3 linked regions of the Rattus norvegicus genome follow. The protein of the gene in region 2 interacts with the protein of the main gene of each other region in a pairwise test. Links are inferred from orthologs where the notes say so. Each region holds a gene or a part of one and is shown on either strand. Other genes may lie near its edges.

Evidence for each region.
Region 1: the proteins of Cry1 (region 2) and Per1 interact in binary tests that used the Homo sapiens proteins (3 or more experiments, as listed by UniProt). The link is inferred for Rattus norvegicus from reciprocal best matches to the Homo sapiens genes CRY1 and PER1.
Region 3: the proteins of Cry1 (region 2) and Bmal1 interact in a two-hybrid assay, tested with the Homo sapiens proteins (3 studies listed by BioGRID, with this or other methods). The link is inferred for Rattus norvegicus from reciprocal best matches to the Homo sapiens genes CRY1 and BMAL1.

Annotation. Positions count from the first base shown.
Region 1 is NC_086028.1:54,302,283-54,308,649, forward strand, and holds the start of Per1 (period circadian protein homolog 1), read left to right. Parts: upstream 1-2,093; 5' UTR 2,094-2,150; coding exon 2,151-2,425; intron 2,426-2,546; coding exon 2,547-2,645; intron 2,646-2,738; coding exon 2,739-2,893; intron 2,894-2,991; coding exon 2,992-3,113; intron 3,114-3,198; coding exon 3,199-3,400; intron 3,401-3,513; coding exon 3,514-3,565; intron 3,566-3,670; coding exon 3,671-3,813; intron 3,814-4,167; coding exon 4,168-4,246; intron 4,247-4,318; coding exon 4,319-4,425; intron 4,426-4,596; coding exon 4,597-4,750; intron 4,751-4,841; coding exon 4,842-4,950; intron 4,951-5,032; coding exon 5,033-5,164; intron 5,165-5,330; coding exon 5,331-5,436; intron 5,437-5,538; coding exon 5,539-5,710; intron 5,711-5,796; coding exon 5,797-5,924; intron 5,925-6,145; coding exon 6,146-6,325; intron 6,326-6,367. UniProt on the Homo sapiens protein: Transcriptional repressor which forms a core component of the circadian clock.
Region 2 is NC_086025.1:20,468,055-20,473,717, reverse strand, and holds part of Cry1 (cryptochrome-1), read right to left. Parts: intron 5,171-5,663; coding exon 5,030-5,170; intron 4,947-5,029; coding exon 4,635-4,946; intron 2,703-4,634; coding exon 2,551-2,702; intron 2,242-2,550; coding exon 2,039-2,241; intron 1,941-2,038; coding exon 1,842-1,940; intron 1-1,841.
Region 3 is NC_086019.1:176,764,198-176,770,601, reverse strand, and holds the start of Bmal1 (basic helix-loop-helix ARNT-like protein 1), read right to left. Parts: upstream 4,275-6,404; 5' UTR 4,187-4,274; intron 1-4,186. UniProt on the Homo sapiens protein: Transcriptional activator which forms a core component of the circadian clock.

The DNA.
Region 1 (6,367 bases), on a different chromosome or scaffold from region 2:
TTGGATGACAAGGTTGGGAAGAGGCCAGGGAATGTCAGCCTAGGTTTTCCTTTCTCCCACTTCCATTGGGTCTCAGACATTTCATTCAACTGGCACCAGGGCAGGTGTCTGCAAAGTTGTGTCAGCTTAGGAAGTAGGTTTCTCTTGAGCACCCACTGTGGCCCAGGCATCCTCCCTGAAAAGGAGTAATTTCCCTCCCTCACTTCCCTTTCATTATTGACTGTATGAGGCATCCTGAGCGCATTGGCTGACTGAGCGGTGTCTGAGGCCCTTCAGCCCAGCACCAGCACCCAAGTCCACGTGCAAGGATGTGTGTGACACAGCCCTGACCTCAGTGGGGGCCAGTAGCCAATCAGATGCCAGGGAGAGATCCTTAGCCAACCGGGGGGGCGGGGCCTGCGGCTCTTCGGGCAGAAGGCCAATGAGGGGCAGGGCCTGGCATTATGCAACCCGCCTCCCAGCCTCGCGGAGCTTCTCGGTTGCGGGCCGAAACGGCAGGCGGCTGGAGGGCGCTCGAACGGCCAGGTAGGGATCCCTGCTGCAATCCTAGGGTTAGTCTTTGTCCCGGAGCTTGGCCACCACTACTTCCAACCTGATGGGTCACTTTCAGCTCTCAGAGAGCAAAACAGAAATCCGCCTTTCCTGTCACTGCCCACCACTTCCCGCCCCTGGGGCTCTAGGTGTTTAACTCAACCCTTTACGATGTCTGCGTTTATTATTCACTCACCTAACCTCCTGCCCTGCTCCTCCAGGGCAGCCATCTGAACCTACGAGACCTTTACAAACACGACCCCCTCACCCATTTTTCGACACTCGGGAGTCCATGGGTTTGCCCTGGTCCAAAGACCCCCTTCAGGCTTTTGCGCTCCTGGTCTTCCTCCAATTTCTGGCCCTATGCCGGTCGTGATGTCAGCCGCTTCAGGCTGGAACATCCTGTTCCCAGCGCTAGTTCTTGCTGTTGGCCACAGCCTTCCTTCCCTTTTCTCCTGGAGCTCAGAAAATACTTGGGATGGGGGTGTGGTTAGACGGAGTAGAGGAAAAACTATGTTGGTTGTGTGTCCTCTATCTAAGACATTGATGTGGTGGTAGGGTTAACTAGAAGAGTAAGGGACGAAGGAAGATGCATGGATCCTTGCCTATGGCAAGTGGTAACTCCAGTCTTGGCGTTTGGGAGTGGGTAGGGGCCTTAGAAAGAAAAGCAGTGTCTTGATCAGAATATTGTTCAAGGCAAGAGCGAGGATGGGGGCGTTTCCACGAAGAGTAGAGGCCGCATATTTCTCTGTGGGGAAACTAGGACTTGCTTCTGTAGTCTCTCTAGTTTGTCATTCTTCACTTGGCTCCTAGGCTGTCTGGGCCTTGGGGATTTGTTACGGTGGGTGACCTTCTTCCCCCATCCCGGTGCTGCCCTGAACCTTGTTAGCCAGTATGAAGATGTGTTGGCCAGTATCGGAGTGGGTCGGTTTCCCACTTCCAGGACGATAGGGGTTGGGGGAGGGGTCGCTCCTGCCCTCCTGTGGTCCCTCCAGCAACCGCTGAGCTCAGCGGCTGACGTCGGTTTCCCTGGCGACCGCGGCTGTGGCGGAAGCGCGTGGTGGGGCCAGGCACATCGGCGCGCATGTGCAGCGGGGGTGGCACCGCCCCCGGATAAAATTAGCCCGGAAGCCTAAATATAGGAGGCGATCAGCTCACCCCCTGCGCCGAGGCCTCAAAGTCCCAGACCAAGTGGGGACCTAATGAGAATTTGGGCATAGGAAACCTGCAAGCTTTGACCCACAGTGTAGTTGTAGTGGATTTTTTGGGCTGTACTCACTGCACACTGGCAAGAGGTGTAAGAGATGGCCTAAGAGAGCTGCCTTCCTACCTGTGGTATCCTTAGGGGAATAGGAAACAGAACTTACCTTTCTACTGCAAACCCCAGGCCTGGGACAGGCAGAGGAAGGACTGAGTGTAACCAGCAGGTGCTGTGGGGTTAATAACTCAGCTTTTGCCAACCATTCCTTCTTGGTTTCTTTTTCTAGGTGCCGTGATTAAATTAGTCAGCCCTCAGAGACAGGCGTCCTACCTCTTTATCCAGCCCTCAAAAGCCCTGTTGTGTACCCGTTGTGGCCTCTTCACCTTCCCTGTTTTGTCCTCCACTGCATGGCCCAGACATGAGCGGTCCCCTAGAAGGGGCTGATGGGGGAGGAGACCCCAGGCCCGGAGAACCTTTTTGTCCTGGAGGAGTTCCATCCCCTGGGGCCCCACAGCATCGGCCTTGTCCAGGCCCTAGCCTGGCTGATGACACTGATGCAAACAGCAATGGCTCAAGTGGCAATGAATCCAATGGACACGAGTCCAGGGGTGCATCTCAGCGGAGTTCTCACAGTTCATCTTCTGGCAATGGCAAGGACTCAGCTCTGCTGGAGACCACTGAGAGCAGCAAGAGGTGTGTGCACGTGTGTGTGTGTGTGTGTGTGTGTGTGTGTGTGTGTGTGTGTGTGAATGTGTATGATAGTATGAGGCTGTTGACCACGTGGCCCTCACTTAGCCTGTTACTTCTTTTCTAGTACAAACTCACAGAGCCCATCCCCACCCAGCAGCTCCATTGCCTATAGTCTCCTGAGTGCAAGCTCAGAGCAGGACAACCCGTCTACCAGTGGCTGCAGGTGTGTGGGGTGAGGGCTGTGGGAGATGTCTGGGGGTTGGGGCCAGACTCTGGAGCTAATGTCTTTGCCCCTTCCTACCTGTGGGTCTTGCAGCAGTGAACAGTCAGCTCGAGCCAGGACCCAGAAAGAACTCATGACCGCACTTCGGGAGCTCAAACTTCGGCTGCCACCAGAGCGTCGGGGAAAGGGCCGCTCTGGGACCCTGGCCACACTCCAGTATGCTCTGGCCTGTGTCAAGCAGGTGCAGGGTGAGTGGTGCTTCCTGGCAGGGTGTGGCCAGGGCATGGACTACTGTATGGGGGCCTTTCTCCTTACTGAAGATGGCTGGGATTCCCTTCTCCTGCAGCTAACCAGGAATATTACCAGCAGTGGAGCCTGGAGGAGGGTGAGCCCTGTGCCATGGACATGTCTACTTACACCCTGGAGGAATTGGAGCATATCACATCTGAATACACTCTCCGCAACCAGGTCGGTGCAGCTTGGGTCTCAGTGCGCACACACTCTCATTCTCATATAGCTCCTAAATCTTCTCTCAATCTTGGTCCCATTCTAGGATACCTTCTCGGTGGCTGTGTCCTTCCTGACAGGCCGGATTGTCTATATTTCGGAGCAGGCAGGTGTCCTGCTGCGTTGCAAACGGGATGTGTTTCGGGGTGCTCGCTTCTCAGAGCTCCTAGCTCCCCAGGATGTGGGTGTCTTCTATGGCTCTACTACACCATCTCGCCTGCCCACCTGGGGCACTGGCACCTCTGCAGGTATAGTACCAGTGTTCTGTGGAGAGGCTTGAAAGCTTTCATGCTGTGGGTTCTCCTCAGCCCAGGACAGAAAGGGCGCTGGCTGTGCTCACTTCCATTCCCATCTGTTCTAGGTTCAGGCCTCAAGGACTTCACCCAGGAAAAGTCTGTCTTCTGCCGAATCAGGTAGGCCTCTCCTACTCATCCTGCCATCTCTATACTATGGTCTGTGACAAGGGGGTGGGACAGCTTTCCCCTGGAAACCTCTAACACTCATCTCTCCCTTGCCAGAGGAGGGCCTGACCGGGATCCAGGGCCTCGCTACCAGCCATTCCGCCTAACCCCATATGTGACCAAGATTCGTGTCTCAGATGGGGCCCCTGCACAGCCGTGCTGCCTGCTCATTGCAGAGCGCATCCACTCTGGTTATGAAGGTGGACAGGCTAGGGCCGGGCCTGGGGGATGAGGGGAGGAAGGGTTTCCTCTAGGATGGGGTGCAGGTCAAGATATGAATTTGGGAGGCACAAGCTGAGTCCTTGGGATTAGAAAAGTATTAAAGGCGGGGAGTTCAGACCCTGCGTGGAGGCTGAGCTGTGACCGGTGAGAAAGAGTACATGGGTGATTCTCAGTGTCTTCTCTGGTGTGAGTCACCAGATGACTCAGACCCTGTAGGCCCTAAAGCCAGGTCTGAGCTGGGAGGAAGAATGCCAGGCAGCCAGACCCCAGGCAGAGAGGAGGGCTGAGGAGCTGGACCACTGGGGCTACAACCTACATGTTCTGTGCTGCAGCTCCCCGGATTCCTCCTGACAAGAGGATCTTCACCACACGGCACACACCAAGTTGCCTCTTCCAGGATGTAGATGAAAGGTGAGGTAAAGACTTGGATGAAGGTGGGTGGCCAGGGCCAAGACCAAGGTCTGACGTCTCCTCCCATTGCAGGGCTGCCCCACTGCTGGGTTACCTACCCCAGGATCTCCTGGGGGCTCCGGTACTTCTCTTTCTACATCCTGAGGACCGACCTCTCATGCTGGCCATTCATAAGAAGAGTGAGTTCTCTTCTCCTGCTCTCCTGTCCTCCCTGCCTGTCCCTAGGGCTTCTTAACTGTTCTTGTGATGGTGTCTCCTGAGGCTTTGCTCTCTCGAGTATCTGTGTGTCTCTTTCTCCGCATTATTCAGCTCCCCAATCCACTGACACCCACTCTCTCCTCCACCAACAGTTCTGCAGTTGGCAGGCCAGCCCTTTGACCACTCCCCTATTCGATTTTGTGCTCGGAATGGGGAATATGTCACCATGGATACCAGCTGGGCCGGCTTTGTGCACCCCTGGAGCCGCAAGGTGGCTTTCGTGCTGGGCCGCCATAAAGTGCGCACGTAAGCGAACTGTGTCTTTGAGCTGGCGCTGGGGATGGGGCAATATGACAGGGTTAGGGAAATGACTGAGTCTGCCTTTACAACCCTGCAGGGCACCCCTGAATGAGGACGTCTTCACACCCCCAGTTCCCAGTCCAGCTCCGTCCCTGGACTCTGATATCCAGGAGCTCTCAGAGCAGATCCATCGATTGCTGCTGCAGGTGAGCGTGGAGGAGAGCTCAGGAATGAAGTGGGCAGGAAGAGGTATAGACACTAACCAATCCATCCTCCTCCTTGCTGTAGCCAGTGCACAGCTCCAGCACCACGGGGCTCTGTGGAGTTGGCCCTCTGATGTCCCCTGGTCCTCTCCACAGCCCTGGCTCCTCCAGTGATAGCAATGGGGGTGATGCTGAGGGGCCTGGGCCTCCTGCTCCAGTGAGTACCGTCGCCCATGGTGACTTTCCTTCTGGCTGTCCTTCTACTGCAGATCATCACTGCAGTCCCTCCTGCTACCCCTACCCAGGCTCCCGGGTCTTCTTACTGATACTTGGGCTCCTGGTACTGCCATCCCAATGCTGCCCAGTGCTCTGCTGCCCCACAGGTGACTTTCCAGCAGATCTGTAAGGATGTGCATCTGGTAAAGCACCAGGGACAACAGCTCTTCATTGAGTCCCGGGCCAAGCCTCCGCCCCGGCCCCGCCTCCTTGGTGAGTAGGTACTGCCATAGACCCCGGGATGAGGAGTAAGGCTTGAGGGTCCCCTGGCCCTCACTCCCAACCCATTTACTGTTTCTTTTTCTTTTGCCCCAGCTACAGGTACATTCAAGGCCAAAGTCCTTCCCTGCCAGTCCCCAAACCCGGAACTGGAGGTGGCCCCTGCTCCTGACCAAGCCTCATTAGCATTGGCCCCTGAGGAGCCAGAGAGGAAAGAGTCCTCTGGCTGCTCCTACCAGCAAATCAACTGCCTGGACAGCATCCTCAGGTGAGGCTTGCCAGTCACCTTCTCCCTCGGCCCTACCTTGCCTGCCCAGGCCCTGCCCTTAAACCCTTTGCTTTATCTATCCCCAGGTATTTGGAAAGCTGCAACATTCCTAACACAACCAAGCGTAAATGTGCCTCCTCTTCCTGCACGGCCTCTTCAGCCTCTGATGATGACAAGCAGAGGGCGGGTCCAGTTCCTGTGGGGGCCAAGAAAGGTAAAGACCCAGTGCATGCCTGGCTCCCATTGCCCTGTCCCAGCCTGTCCCAGGCCTATACACTTCTGCCTTAGGCTCCCCTGCTCTTCCCTGGTCCCCCTTTCCTGCCTCCTGATCTCCAGGTTCCTCCCTCTAGCCAATCCTTCTCTACTCCTCCCTGGGATCCTTCTCCTGACCTCACAAGGGGCAGAGGTGGTAACCAGTGCTGTCTCTCCGCACAGATACGTCGTCAGCAGTGCTGTCTGGGGAGGGGGCAACTCCTCGGAAGGAGCCAGTGGTGGGAGGCACCCTGAGCCCGCTCGCCCTGGCCAATAAGGCAGAGAGCGTGGTGTCCGTCACCAGTCAGTGTAGCTTCAGCTCCACCATCGTCCATGTGGGAGACAAGAAGCCCCCGGAGTCGGGTATGGGCATGGAGTGAGGGGGGTAGTGACTGGGCCCCACTT
Region 2 (5,663 bases):
AAATGGTTGGAACTGGAAAATATCATCCTGAGTGAGCTAACCCAATCACAGAAAGACATACATGGTATGCACTCATTGATAAGTGGCTATTAGCCCAAATGCTTGAATTACCCTAGATGCCTAGAACAAACAAAACTCAAGACGGATGATCAAAATGTGAATGCTTCACTCCTTCTTTAAATGAGGAAAAAGAATACTCTTGGCAGGGAAGGGAGAGGCAAAGATTAAAACAGAGACTGAAGGAACACCCATTCAGAGTCTGCCCCACATGTGGCCCATACATATACAGCCACCCAATTAGACAAGATGGATGAAGCAAAGAAGTGCAGACCGACAGGAGATGGATGTAGATCACTCCTGAGAGACACAGCCAGAATACAGCAAATACAGAGGCGAATGCCAGCAGCAAACCACTGAACTGAGAATAGGTCCCCTATTGAAGGAATCAGAGAAAGAACTGGAAGAGCTTGAAGGGGCTCGAGACCCCATATGTACAACAATGCCAAGCAACCAGAGCTTCCAGGGACTAAGCCACTACCTAAAGACTATACATGGACTGACCCTGGACTCTGACCTCATAGGTAGCAATGAATATCCTAGTAAGAGCACCAGTGGAAGGGGAAGCCCTGGGTCCTGCTAAGACTGAACCCCCAGTGAACTAGACTATGGGGGAGGGCGGCAATGGGGGGAGGGTTGGGAGGGGAACACCCATAAGGAAGGGGAGGGGGGAGGGGGATGTTTGCCCGGAAACCGGGAAAGGGAATAACACTCGAAATGTATATAAGAAATACTCAAGTTAATAAAAAAAAAAAAAAAAAAAAAAAAAAAAAGTTCTGGCTTCAATTCTCAGCACCATAAAGAAAAGAAGAAGAAGAAAAAGCTTTATTTTTAATAATAGCTTAGAACATGCTGTACCTTAAAATAAAAAAGCATTTCTGAAGAGATGTTTGTTTTGAGTCTCATTATTCTGCCTCACATGAGTTTTGCTTGAATGGATGCAAATTTCCACCATACACTGACTTCTAAGGACTACAGATATGTATTTTTAACTAACTACAGATAGTTACATTGTGTCTGCTTGTTTTTAAGTACAGTGTGTGTGTGTGTGTGTGTGTGTGTGCAGGTATCTGAAAAGGCTAGCACAGGGTGTCAGATTCCTGAAGCTGCAGTTACAGGCAGTTGTGAGATGTGTGCTGTGATCTGGGAATCTGACTTGGGTCCTTTGTAAGAGCAGCAAACACTCTGAGCCACTGAGCCACCTCTCAGCTCATAGAGGGACTTTCGATGCTACTATCACAGACACTGAAAACTGATTAAGAAACTAAACGGTTTCTCAGAAAGACTTTGTATGACAGACTCACGTGCAAAAGGATGAAGCACACATATGGTAATTGGTCCGCTCTCTGCAGACTAACAACGGTTTAGACTGCCTTCTAGATGTGTGCACTCAGTAAGAGTAAAAAGTAATGAACATTCTGAAACGAGATCAGAGTTTCACTCTACACTCAAGCTGATCTTGATGGTGGAGTTCGTGGTGGTACAGCACTTACCTGAGCTTGCTCTAGGACCACATAAAAACAAAACCCTGTATCATTCACTTTACAAGTCTTAGTCTGACTCGGTATCAACTACATGCAATGCTATTTTGCATATTTAACATCTTTGCCGAAGGAGGGAGGGAGGTAGGGATACATATGCACCTGTATGCATGTACACAAACAACTTTTAATTTTAAAGACAGCTTTTCAAAAAGTCAAACCTATTCCAACAAGGCCCACAGGAGCATGTACTCGGTTGTCCCCTCTTTACCATGTCCCCATGTCTAGAACTGTCTCACTTACTTCCGCCACCACTGCCACCGCTGGGGACATTCTCTCCAGGAGCATAGCCCATGAGCCCTCCGTTCCCATTAGGATTAGAAGGGACTGAGGCAAGGAGACCTGAAGGGAGACATTTTCCTGTTAAATTCTGACCAAGAAAGAAATCAATGACAGCTAGGCCTGCACTGACAGGAGACGCCCATAAGGAACTGACATACCTAGCCCTCTGTAGCGGGAGAGCTGCTGATAGATCTGCTTCATTCTTTCAATATTCAGTCGACTTGCCTCGGCATGGTTCACCATTGGTTTGGGATAATTAACGCCTATCAAACATTTGGCTACCTTCTGGATACCTTCTGGTGCATTCCAAGGATCGTAGATATATTTTGCAGGGAAGCCTCTTAGGACAGGCAAATAACGCCTTTTGGGAGAAGGTAGAGAATTTTTTAAATGAACTGTACTATAAGCACATTACAACAAATTATCAACCATGAATGACAAAAAGCAAATCAGTATCACTTAAATAATGTATTATTCTTCTCAGTTCTGCTGCCCATCAAGAATAAAGGTCTTGAATTTCGAGATGAGCCTACCTCTGCCTGCGGGTGCTGGGATTAAAGGTGTGTGTCACCATGCCCCAAAAGACTAGAGAATACTAGTGCTGCTTAAGGACGAAAGCTCTTCCTTGGATTAGCTACTTCCAACTGAACACTAACCACCCTTGCCTTACCTAATATAGTCTCCATTGGGGTCTGTCCTCCTACCAAAACCAACAGGGCAGTAGCAGTGGAAAAACTGTTGGAAAAAGGAACTGCAGGACAGCCACATCCAACTCCCAGCATTGATGCTCCAGTCGGCGTCAAGCAGTAATTCTTCAAAGACCTGTGGAAGGAGCAGTGACCAATCAATTCCCACACACAATTACCCAAAACAGCATTTTGAAGGTCACTGTAGATCAAAACTCGACAGGAAAATCTAGGCAGAACTGAAAATTAAACATTCCAAAATATATGCTGCGTTCTAATAAGCAATGTCTGGGAGAGAATACACAGGAAATACAGCTTTCTGGATAGAATTTACTTTTATAACTGTGGAGAGCCCCCACGGGTGCACAAGTGTGTGTGTGTGTGTGTGTGTGTGTGTGTGTGTGTGTGTGTGTGTGTGTGTGTAAGAGAGACAGAGGCAGATGGGTTGGGGAACGACAACATACACTTGCTCTATAGCTGGAAGTGTTTGGGAAGGACTAGGAAGTGTGTCCTCTTTGAAGACAGTCACTGGCAGTAGGCTTAGGGTTTTAAAGGCCCATATCATTTTCTGGGTGTTCTCTCTCTCTCTCTCTCTCTCTCTCTCTCTCTCTCTCTCTCTCTCTCTCTCTCCCTCCCTCCCTCCCTCCCTCCCTCCCTCCCTCCCTCTCTCTGCTCTGTACCTGTGGATCAGGTGTAAGCTCTTAACGCCTGCTCCACATTCACACCTGCCTCCCTGCTGCTGTGCCACCCATCAAGATGGTCACAGACTCTACCACTCTCTGAAACCATGGCCCTAATTACATGCCTCTGCTTATAAGTTTCCTTGATCATAGTGTTTGGTCATGACAATAGAGAAATAACTAAGACAATGACCTTGGACTTCTACTACTGTGGGGAAAGTAAAAATTACTCAAATTATTGAGTTTTAAAGAGCTGTAAGATATAGTAGATTAAAAAAAGATTAGTATCCCATGTTTAAGAAAGCAAAAAAAAAATCATCAAATAAATCATAACGCAAAATCTAAAAGCCTGGGTGTACTGCATGGACAGAGGAAACATGCCACTACACGGCACCATAAATGCAGTAGCATGATAGTTTACATTTCAAATTCTCTGATCCAAAGAAAATATAACTAAATAATGTATTAATAAATTAAATAATGTATTAATAATGTGTTAATTAGGTACTAGAAGATAATACAAGATGGGAAACAAACCCTTAACAACTAAAAACCAAAGAACAGGATTAGAAACAGTTCCTGAGGAGGTGAGATGGCTCGCTGGGTAAGGGGGCTTGCTGCCACGTCTGACAACTGAGTTCAAGTCCCAGAACCCACATGGTGGAGAGAACCAACAAGTTGTCCTCTAACCCACCCATACACACATAAATTTTAAAAAGGTTTTTAAAATAAACATTCCTTGAATTGGAAAGATTGATGATGTAGCTAGACAGGTAACTCATGATACAGGTCTTTAGTTTAACGATGACAGAGAGCTTACAGTTCATGTAATGTGAACTCACTATTTCTAAGAGCTCATGGGTGAGTATGACAGAGACTGCCACCTATAGATACAGCTATCCAATAAATCAATAAATTACTTTCCTTACTCTTAAAGACAAGCTGATGCTATAGCCAAGGGTGCAAGTGAGGGTGGCCTTGCAGTCCGGGTCTTCTGATGTCTATCATGTAGTATGGACTGCAGGCCTGCACTACCACACAAGGCCAGAGTGCTAAACAGTGACAGCTCTCTTAAGAGAAGGATGGTTTGACTGTAGGGATGACTTATGGTTAAGCCATTTAGCTAGCCCTTGTCTGAGTTCAACACCTTGCTCTTGAAAACTGGGCCTATACTGTGGGCATTATGTGCTTTATCCACTGGAAAGTCAAACTACAGGACAGACAAGTGCGCCGCACAGGTCCTGCTCTTCCCCATCTCACACTGCAGCCCACGATGCTTGAGTTGGTGAAGCTTCCCTTTACTCAGCCTCGCAGGCTGCTCAGACCTCAGCTGTGCACATCTCAGTATAGCTAGACTCCTGCAAACTCTCGTCAGTCAGAACATTTACCTTCATCCCTTCTTCCCAACTGATCCATAGGTCGCCGCGGGTCAGGAAACAGGCAACTGCATGTCGGGCTAGATGGTGGATCCAGCCCTCCTGACGAAGCTGTGTCATGATGGCGTCAATCCACGGAAAGCCTGTCCGGCCTTCTGCCCATTTGGCCAGAGCCTCGGGATTCTTGTCCCAAGGGATTTGAACACAGATGGGGTTCCCTTCCATTTTGTCAAAGCGTGGGTTGTTTGTGGCTGCTGTATAAAAAAATTCACGCCACAGGAGTTGCCCATAAAGAGAAAGGGGAGGGGAACTATTTTTCTTTACCTGTGATTAAAACAACAAAAAAGTACTGTCAGAAAAAAAACTTTTAAGTATTTCAAAAAATATACTCTGATTTAAGATAATACCTTTTTGTAGAGATCTGTTAGTTTGAAATAAAATAGCCGACATGACAAACAACCGAAGCGGAGATAAGGACTCAGTCCAGTTGGGCTTGCGAGCAGGGAGTTTGCATTCATTCGAGGTCTTTCAAAGTTTGCCACCCAGGCCTGGAAACACAGAGACAATTACCCTCTTTAACCACATTAGAAGAATGTTAAGAACTACCCCAGTGAGACAGCTCGGCAGTGTGTAAAGCACCTGTTGCCAAGCCTGAAGACAGACACACAGACGCACAGACACACACAGACACACACATACACACAGACACACACACACATACACACAGAGACACAGACACACACACACACACATACACACAGACAGACACACACACACATACACACAGAGACACACACAGACACACACACACAGAGACACACACAGACACAGACACACACAAACACACAGACACACACAAACACACACAGACACACAGACACACACACACATACACACACACATACACACAGACACAGACACACACAGAGACACAGACACACACACACATACACACACAGACACAGACATACACACACAGAGACACACACACACATACACACTCTCAAAACTGAGGATTTTGAGGAATATGTTATTATCCCA
Region 3 (6,404 bases), on a different chromosome or scaffold from region 2:
GCTGGAGTTTGAACAGAAATGCAGGTATGTGAAGACCTGGAGGTAGGGAGGACTAGGCCAGGGCTGGTGCCTGGGAAGGGCCACCCTTTGGCTTGGCCAGACAGTCCTGTGCACACAGCAAATGCTGGCCAGCATGTGGGCTGGATGGCGAGAACCCCCCTCAGTACAGTGAGGAACAGAGCAATGAGGAGTAACACCACTGAGCCACTGCAGAGTGTGGGGTGAAGACCTTGCCATACACGCCCAGTGTCTTAACTCATTCGCTCCACACTGCAGCTGCAGGAGCTAGAGGTAGCTCCCATCAGGAGGATAGCAACACAGAGAGAAAAGGCACGTTGGCCATTAGTGATGAAGGATGCACGCAAACTTGGAATGTGAAAGCACTGGGGCTCCAAACCACCTAACAAAAGTGCCTTGCTGTACAGCTGGGAAAGAGGGGCATGAGGAGCTCTAGGCTCCAGGATTCTGGGGAACAGTGCTAAAAGACAGGCTCCAAGCCTGCAACCCCATGGGACACTACTAGACCTGCCACAGTTAAAGCAGGAGGGAGTGGGGCCTGACTACAGATGGGACTCTGGGGATAAGGTGTGTGTGCGTGAGGAGACAGTGTGAGCAGAAGGTAGACGCTGACCTTTGGCAGGAACAGGAAGAGAATCAAGAAAGCAACATGGCCTAAAGGTACAAGGAAGAAGTGACTTCCAGAGAATAAAAGACAAACAAGATCGAACTGCAAAGGGATCAAAACAACCTGAAGTGCAAGACTTAAAAAGTTTCTAGAGGTCTTAAGAAGTATAAAGAAGGAGAAAATCCAGAGGATGAGAACGTTCAGCTCTCAGGGAAGCTAGCATCTTGTTGGGGAGACACCCAGACTCAGGGGCACCTGGTATGGAAACTGCCCAGTGTTCAAGAGACTCACAATAGATCTGTTTCTTCTTATTCCCCAATCAAGACAAAGGTTCCACTGAGACTGGTGGGGTTTCCGAGGGCAGAGTACAAAGGATGTTCTGGTGACAGGAGCCTGGCAGAGGTGGGAGGGAGTGGCATCTGGCACTGAGGAGAGGCTTCCTGTGTGCTAGGCATCTGACACACATCATGTCCCGTCATCCTCTAAGAGGCAGGCGCTGTCACTGCACCAGAGGAGTAGAATGGAGGTCAAAGAAGTCAGGCACTGGTCCAAAGCCACAGAGCTCCAACCCAAGCACCAGCTCCTTCCTCCACAAGAACCCGGGGGCTCCTGCCTATTCGAGAGCTCAGTGGGAAAAACAATGTTTTCTCCCACCTGAGAAAGAGGGGAGGGGACAGTGAGAAACTGGACAGAATGCTCTGAATGGGTAAAAGATGCTGAGAAGCAAAGGTCATAGCAGGTGGATGGAGGGGAGGAGAAAGGTTCAGGGTCAATCTGAGTCCTCTGATGAAATGACAACAATGGAGAAGACGGACAGAAAAGGGTGTGCTTGTGTTCCCTGAGCTCCCTGTTTAACCTCAAAGGTCTAGAAAGGGTTTTGTCTTTCCTAATGTCTCTGCAAATGCCTATTTCAGTTAGCATCACACTGAAGTCACTGTCAGAAACTGCCATGCTGTCAGGGACAGGAGCTCTTTAATCTTCACATTCTCCTACCACAGTGGGGCGACGATGGAATCATAGAAAGAAAAAAGCTCAGAGGATAGAAAGCAGGCTGTCCCCCACGGACAGATAAAATCTTTCATTTTTGCATGTTCATATGTAGCACTGTTAACATGGCAAGGTCTTTCAGTACCACTTATCTATACATGAATTCCAGTGAGACTGGGGATGTGAAGGAATAAATCTGAAAACACGGCCACTTCCTTTTCCTGCCCAGTGGCATGTAAACCTCTTCTGCAGATAGCAAAGAGACGGGTGAATTGTCATCAATTATAAATCATTTGAAATGGATCCCTTTAAACACCATCTGTTGATCTCCTTAACTGTCCCACGGAAAAAAAAAGGACTTTTGCTCAACTGTTCTGACAGCTCCAGGAGGTAAATGCCCACCCACACAGAGAGGCATACAGAATCAAAGAGTGGTAGAAACCTTTGACCTCCCTTAGTTCAACCGTCTGACTTTCCATCAGAGGTGAACATAACCCAGAAAAGTACAGTAACTTGCTCCAAGTGGCAAAGCCACCGGAGTTCCAGTTGGAGCTAGAACCTAGTTTCATGCCTTCTAACTCCCAGGTTACCACTCTTCCACACCTTATCAGAGCCTCTCCCATTTTAAGCAGCAGAGATTGGAACAAAGTACAAATTTAACTGCTGTTTTAACATCATCATTATTCACTGGCAACATCCAAGATAGAACCAAAGTGCTGCTACAGATCCAGCTTCCGCTGATACACCCAATTTTAAATCTGCCTAGAAAATTTCTAACCCTTCTAAATATGTTCAACAACCCATTTTTTTTTAAAGATTTAGCAATAATATAAACCCAGGAACAAAGAATAATCTTAAAGATTACATTTTGTATTTTAAAATATATATATATATATTTGGAACTTCACTGGTATGGGAATCAAATTTAACAACAGTGGTCCCCCCACCCCCTTCTTGCAAGCACGGGAAGCCTGGGATTATTCAAAACTGCTCAAGAGCAGCAACGATTATTTTAAGCTCATGATTCAACTAGTACATTAATTAGAAAATCCACCAACCCAAATTGACAGATCCTGGTATCAATGGGATCTTAAGAATAAAAATAATAGTTGTTAAGCAAAAATAGATTGAAAGAGGGCACAGCAGCAACCGTGAGAAGGACAAATGACAAGCAAGAGCAGGAAAAAAAGCATTTAATGATCAGTTTTCCTGGACAAAACAAAAACAAAACCCGGGGGAGGGGGAACAAAAAAAAAACCAAAAAAAAAAAACAAAAAAACCAAAACCCCCCACAATGAATATCTTAGCCATACTGGTACTGTCAAAAAGTAGTTGGTTGTGATTACAGTATCTGATTTTTGGAAGTTGGGTAAGAAAGTGTGACTAATGAATTCTTGATTAAAAGTAACAATTTAAGACAGGAGAGGAGACCAATCTCAAGGGGTCAAAGGGCCAAAACTAGGCTAAGAGTTGGGAAAGGACTGGAGAAGATGCATCCAGAATAGGTAAGGGGCGATCATGTCAGTTTGGCCAGCGTAACTTGACAACAGACACACCCGTGTCCAACGCAGCCCTTCTTTCCCCAACGCGGAACACAACCGCGGAACACAACCCGCTACGCGACCCCTGGGGATGGCTGCCATGTGCGCCCAGAGTCCTTCTAAAATTCTACCTTCGACCTCTCCCAGCAAACCGGAGCTCCCCCAGCTGTCAACACTGTGGCAATCTCCAGTAAAAACCTTAGTCTTCCCTGATTATCTGTCAAACCCGCATCTGAGTGAAGCCTCACTGCGCACTCCTCTGGTCTCTCGGATGCCCACCGGGTGCAGGGCACGGTCCCCACGCCAGCCGGTACCTACTCGCAGACCCAAAAGGGAAGACACATCCTCCAGGGCCACCCAGGTACCGGACAGCGCAGGCCCGACGGCTGTCCGTGGGCCTGGTCTATGCCTGCCAGGGGATTCCCGGGGTCCGCGCCAGCCCCAAGACAGGCCATAAGGACGCACCAGCACCGACGCCCCGACTTGACGGAGACGCCCTCCCCGCCCCCACCCGGTTCCCGAGGGGGAAGTGTAGAAGGGTTGACCAGGCAAGCGCCGCATAGCATCGTTCTGCCCGCGTCCCGGCCATCCCCTCGGGGATCCAGAAGCTCCCGGGGATGCATCCCGGAGCTCGTCCCAGGCTCGGGTCACTGCCGCTACCCGGTACTGCTGTCTCTTTAAGAGGCCGCCGGCCGCCCCCTCCCGAGCCAGGTGGTGATGCCCGCGCGGGGAAGGTGGGCGCGCCCGCTGACAGTGTCCCAGGGTCCCCCCTGTCCTCCCCCGCCCGCTGTGCAGCCCAGGCGGGGAAGATGGGGGTGCGCAGGAGCGGCGCCTTTAAGGGGCGCAGCCTCCCCGAGGCTGGGTGGGGGCTGGGAGCCGCACGGGCCCTTTAAGGCCGGCAGCGGGCACGTCGGGCAGGGCTCCCGGCGGCCCGGCTGCGCCGCGGGCGGGGGCGGTGCGCCGGCCCGAGAACTCGCGACCCCCGACGGGACGCCCCGAGACGGCCGCTGCCCGCAGCCGTGCCGACACTCACCGTGGCTCGCCGCGAGCGCCCGCGCCCGCACCCGCACTCGGATCCCGCGGCGGCGGCGGCGGCAAGTCCGGCGCGGGTAAACAGGCACCTCCGTCCCTGACCTACTTTCTGCCTTCCCTAAATGTCGCACCACTAACCTACTTTCCGACCAATCCGCTCCCCGCCGGCCCAGGCCCGGCCCCCCGCCCACCAATCGCTGTGCCCAACCCCCCTTCCCCGCCCACCAATGGAGGAGCCGCGGAGCCCGGATACCTGCCTCTTCCCGCTAGCCAATCAGAGCGCGCGAACTGAATTGTCTTGGCGGACAACCCAAACCAATTCGCGTTCGGCTCCGCGTTAAGATAGCCAATCCAGTGACCGATAGAAAAGCCGCTGACCAATGGCAAGACGTCAGGGCTGGTTTACCTGCTACTTTCCCTTCACCAATCATTTGGTGCACAGAAGCACACGCCCCGAGGAGTGGACCAATCGGCGCGCTCTGTGGATTTCTTGCCCCAGCCTTCAGTTTTTTTCTGTCAGGTCTAAAGCTCGCTGAGGCCACCGCGGTGTGGACTCTGCGAGCTCGCCGTAGTCCACTGTTCCTCAGTCGCGTACCCAGCTAGTGCCTGCCTCCCAGCTCTCCCTTTCTCCTTCGTCCCCTTCCTTGCTCGCAGAACGCTGAGAAAACGCCGCATCTCCTCGCCCATCCCTCTCCAGCTCCATCTAGGAAACCACATTATAGGAACACAGAGTGACAGAACCTTCCTGAAACCCCTGACTTGTCCCAGTCGGAACCACAGCGCTAATAGCTAACGTATTTAGAAGACTTTTCCTTCCGACGACTAACCGGATCTCGTGTTCTTTTTGTCTTGACCTCCAAGCGTCCGGTGGAGCTGTCATTCCAGTTCGAAAGAGAAGTCTCCGGGGGGGGGTGGGGGTGGGGGTGGCGTAGTCTGTAATTCCAACCCTCAAGACGCTGAGGCAGGGGGATAGTTGAAAGTACTGAGCTAGCCTGGGCACAGGGTGAGACCTGAGCAAGTTTCTGTTACATGTTACCGACAGGGTCCTAGCAAATCTACTTTGCCAAAGTATCTAAGGAGCCGGGAGTTGGGGGGGGGGGGATTAGGGAGGGGGTAGTTTCAAAGTTGTTAGTTTGTGTGGTTTGTTGCTCTGTTGTAGCCCTAGCTGTCCTGGAACTCAGGCTGGCTTCGAATCAAACTCACAGATATTCACCTGCCTCTGCCTCCTGAGGCACCCCCGTGCGCGCAGAGATTTTTAAAAAGAGAGAAAGAGAGAGGAAGGCCATGACCCATCTCCAGCCCCTTGCAAGGCACGCAGCCTTTATGGAAATGTGTATTGACTTCAAGACCAAAGAAGTTCATGGGTAACTTCCCACTTACCCCGAGTTTCAAAGCAGATTTACTCTTTCTCTGTCCTGTTTTGTGAAGGGATCTCTCTGTGTAGATGGAACTTTAATGCAGCATTAGAGAGGATATTATTTACAAGATGGAAATGCGAGCTGGATGCTGACCTAATTAAATGGACTAATAGCTAGCTAAATTCCGGTAACCTGAAGATGCCGGCTGATGCATCCCACAATATCTCTCTACTGTGTTGTGTGCCCGGCACGTGCTAAAAGCTCTCCTTCATTTTCTTAATCCTTGTATCCTGACAACCACCCTGTGCAGAAAGCAGTTCTTAACCCATTTTACAAAAGTGTCAGTCCGGTTCTAAATGTGTTTTGGTTTGGTTTCCACTCTAAAGGCTCACATCAGACCAATTACCCACCCCCAACCCCCCCAAAAAAATAATGGTGCAAGGCTCCCAACTAGGCCCAGACTCAGGACTTTTACCCATGTCCTGAAAGAAAAACTAGGAGATTTGCATTCATGTGATGGAAAGCCAAGAGAGAAAGAGACACTACATGACATCAACCAAATTTTGCTAGGGAACAGTGGACTTCATAACAGGAGCAACTGTGGGGTCCAGTCTTGGGGGAGCCTGCTGTTCTCAGACAGGGTAGGACGGAGGTGTCTGAACAGATGCATAAAAGATCAAGATGGGAACCCTAAGTCACAACTCAGTCTGAGCCCACAGAGATTTGTGGCTGCTCATAGAAAGAACGCTGTCTCGGGACAATCACCAAAAGTCTAAGAGAAAGCAACACGGGCATCAGTAGACCTGCTGTCTTGGTCAGTACCCACATGGAGTTGTCTCTGTGACGAAGTCTTGGCAAACA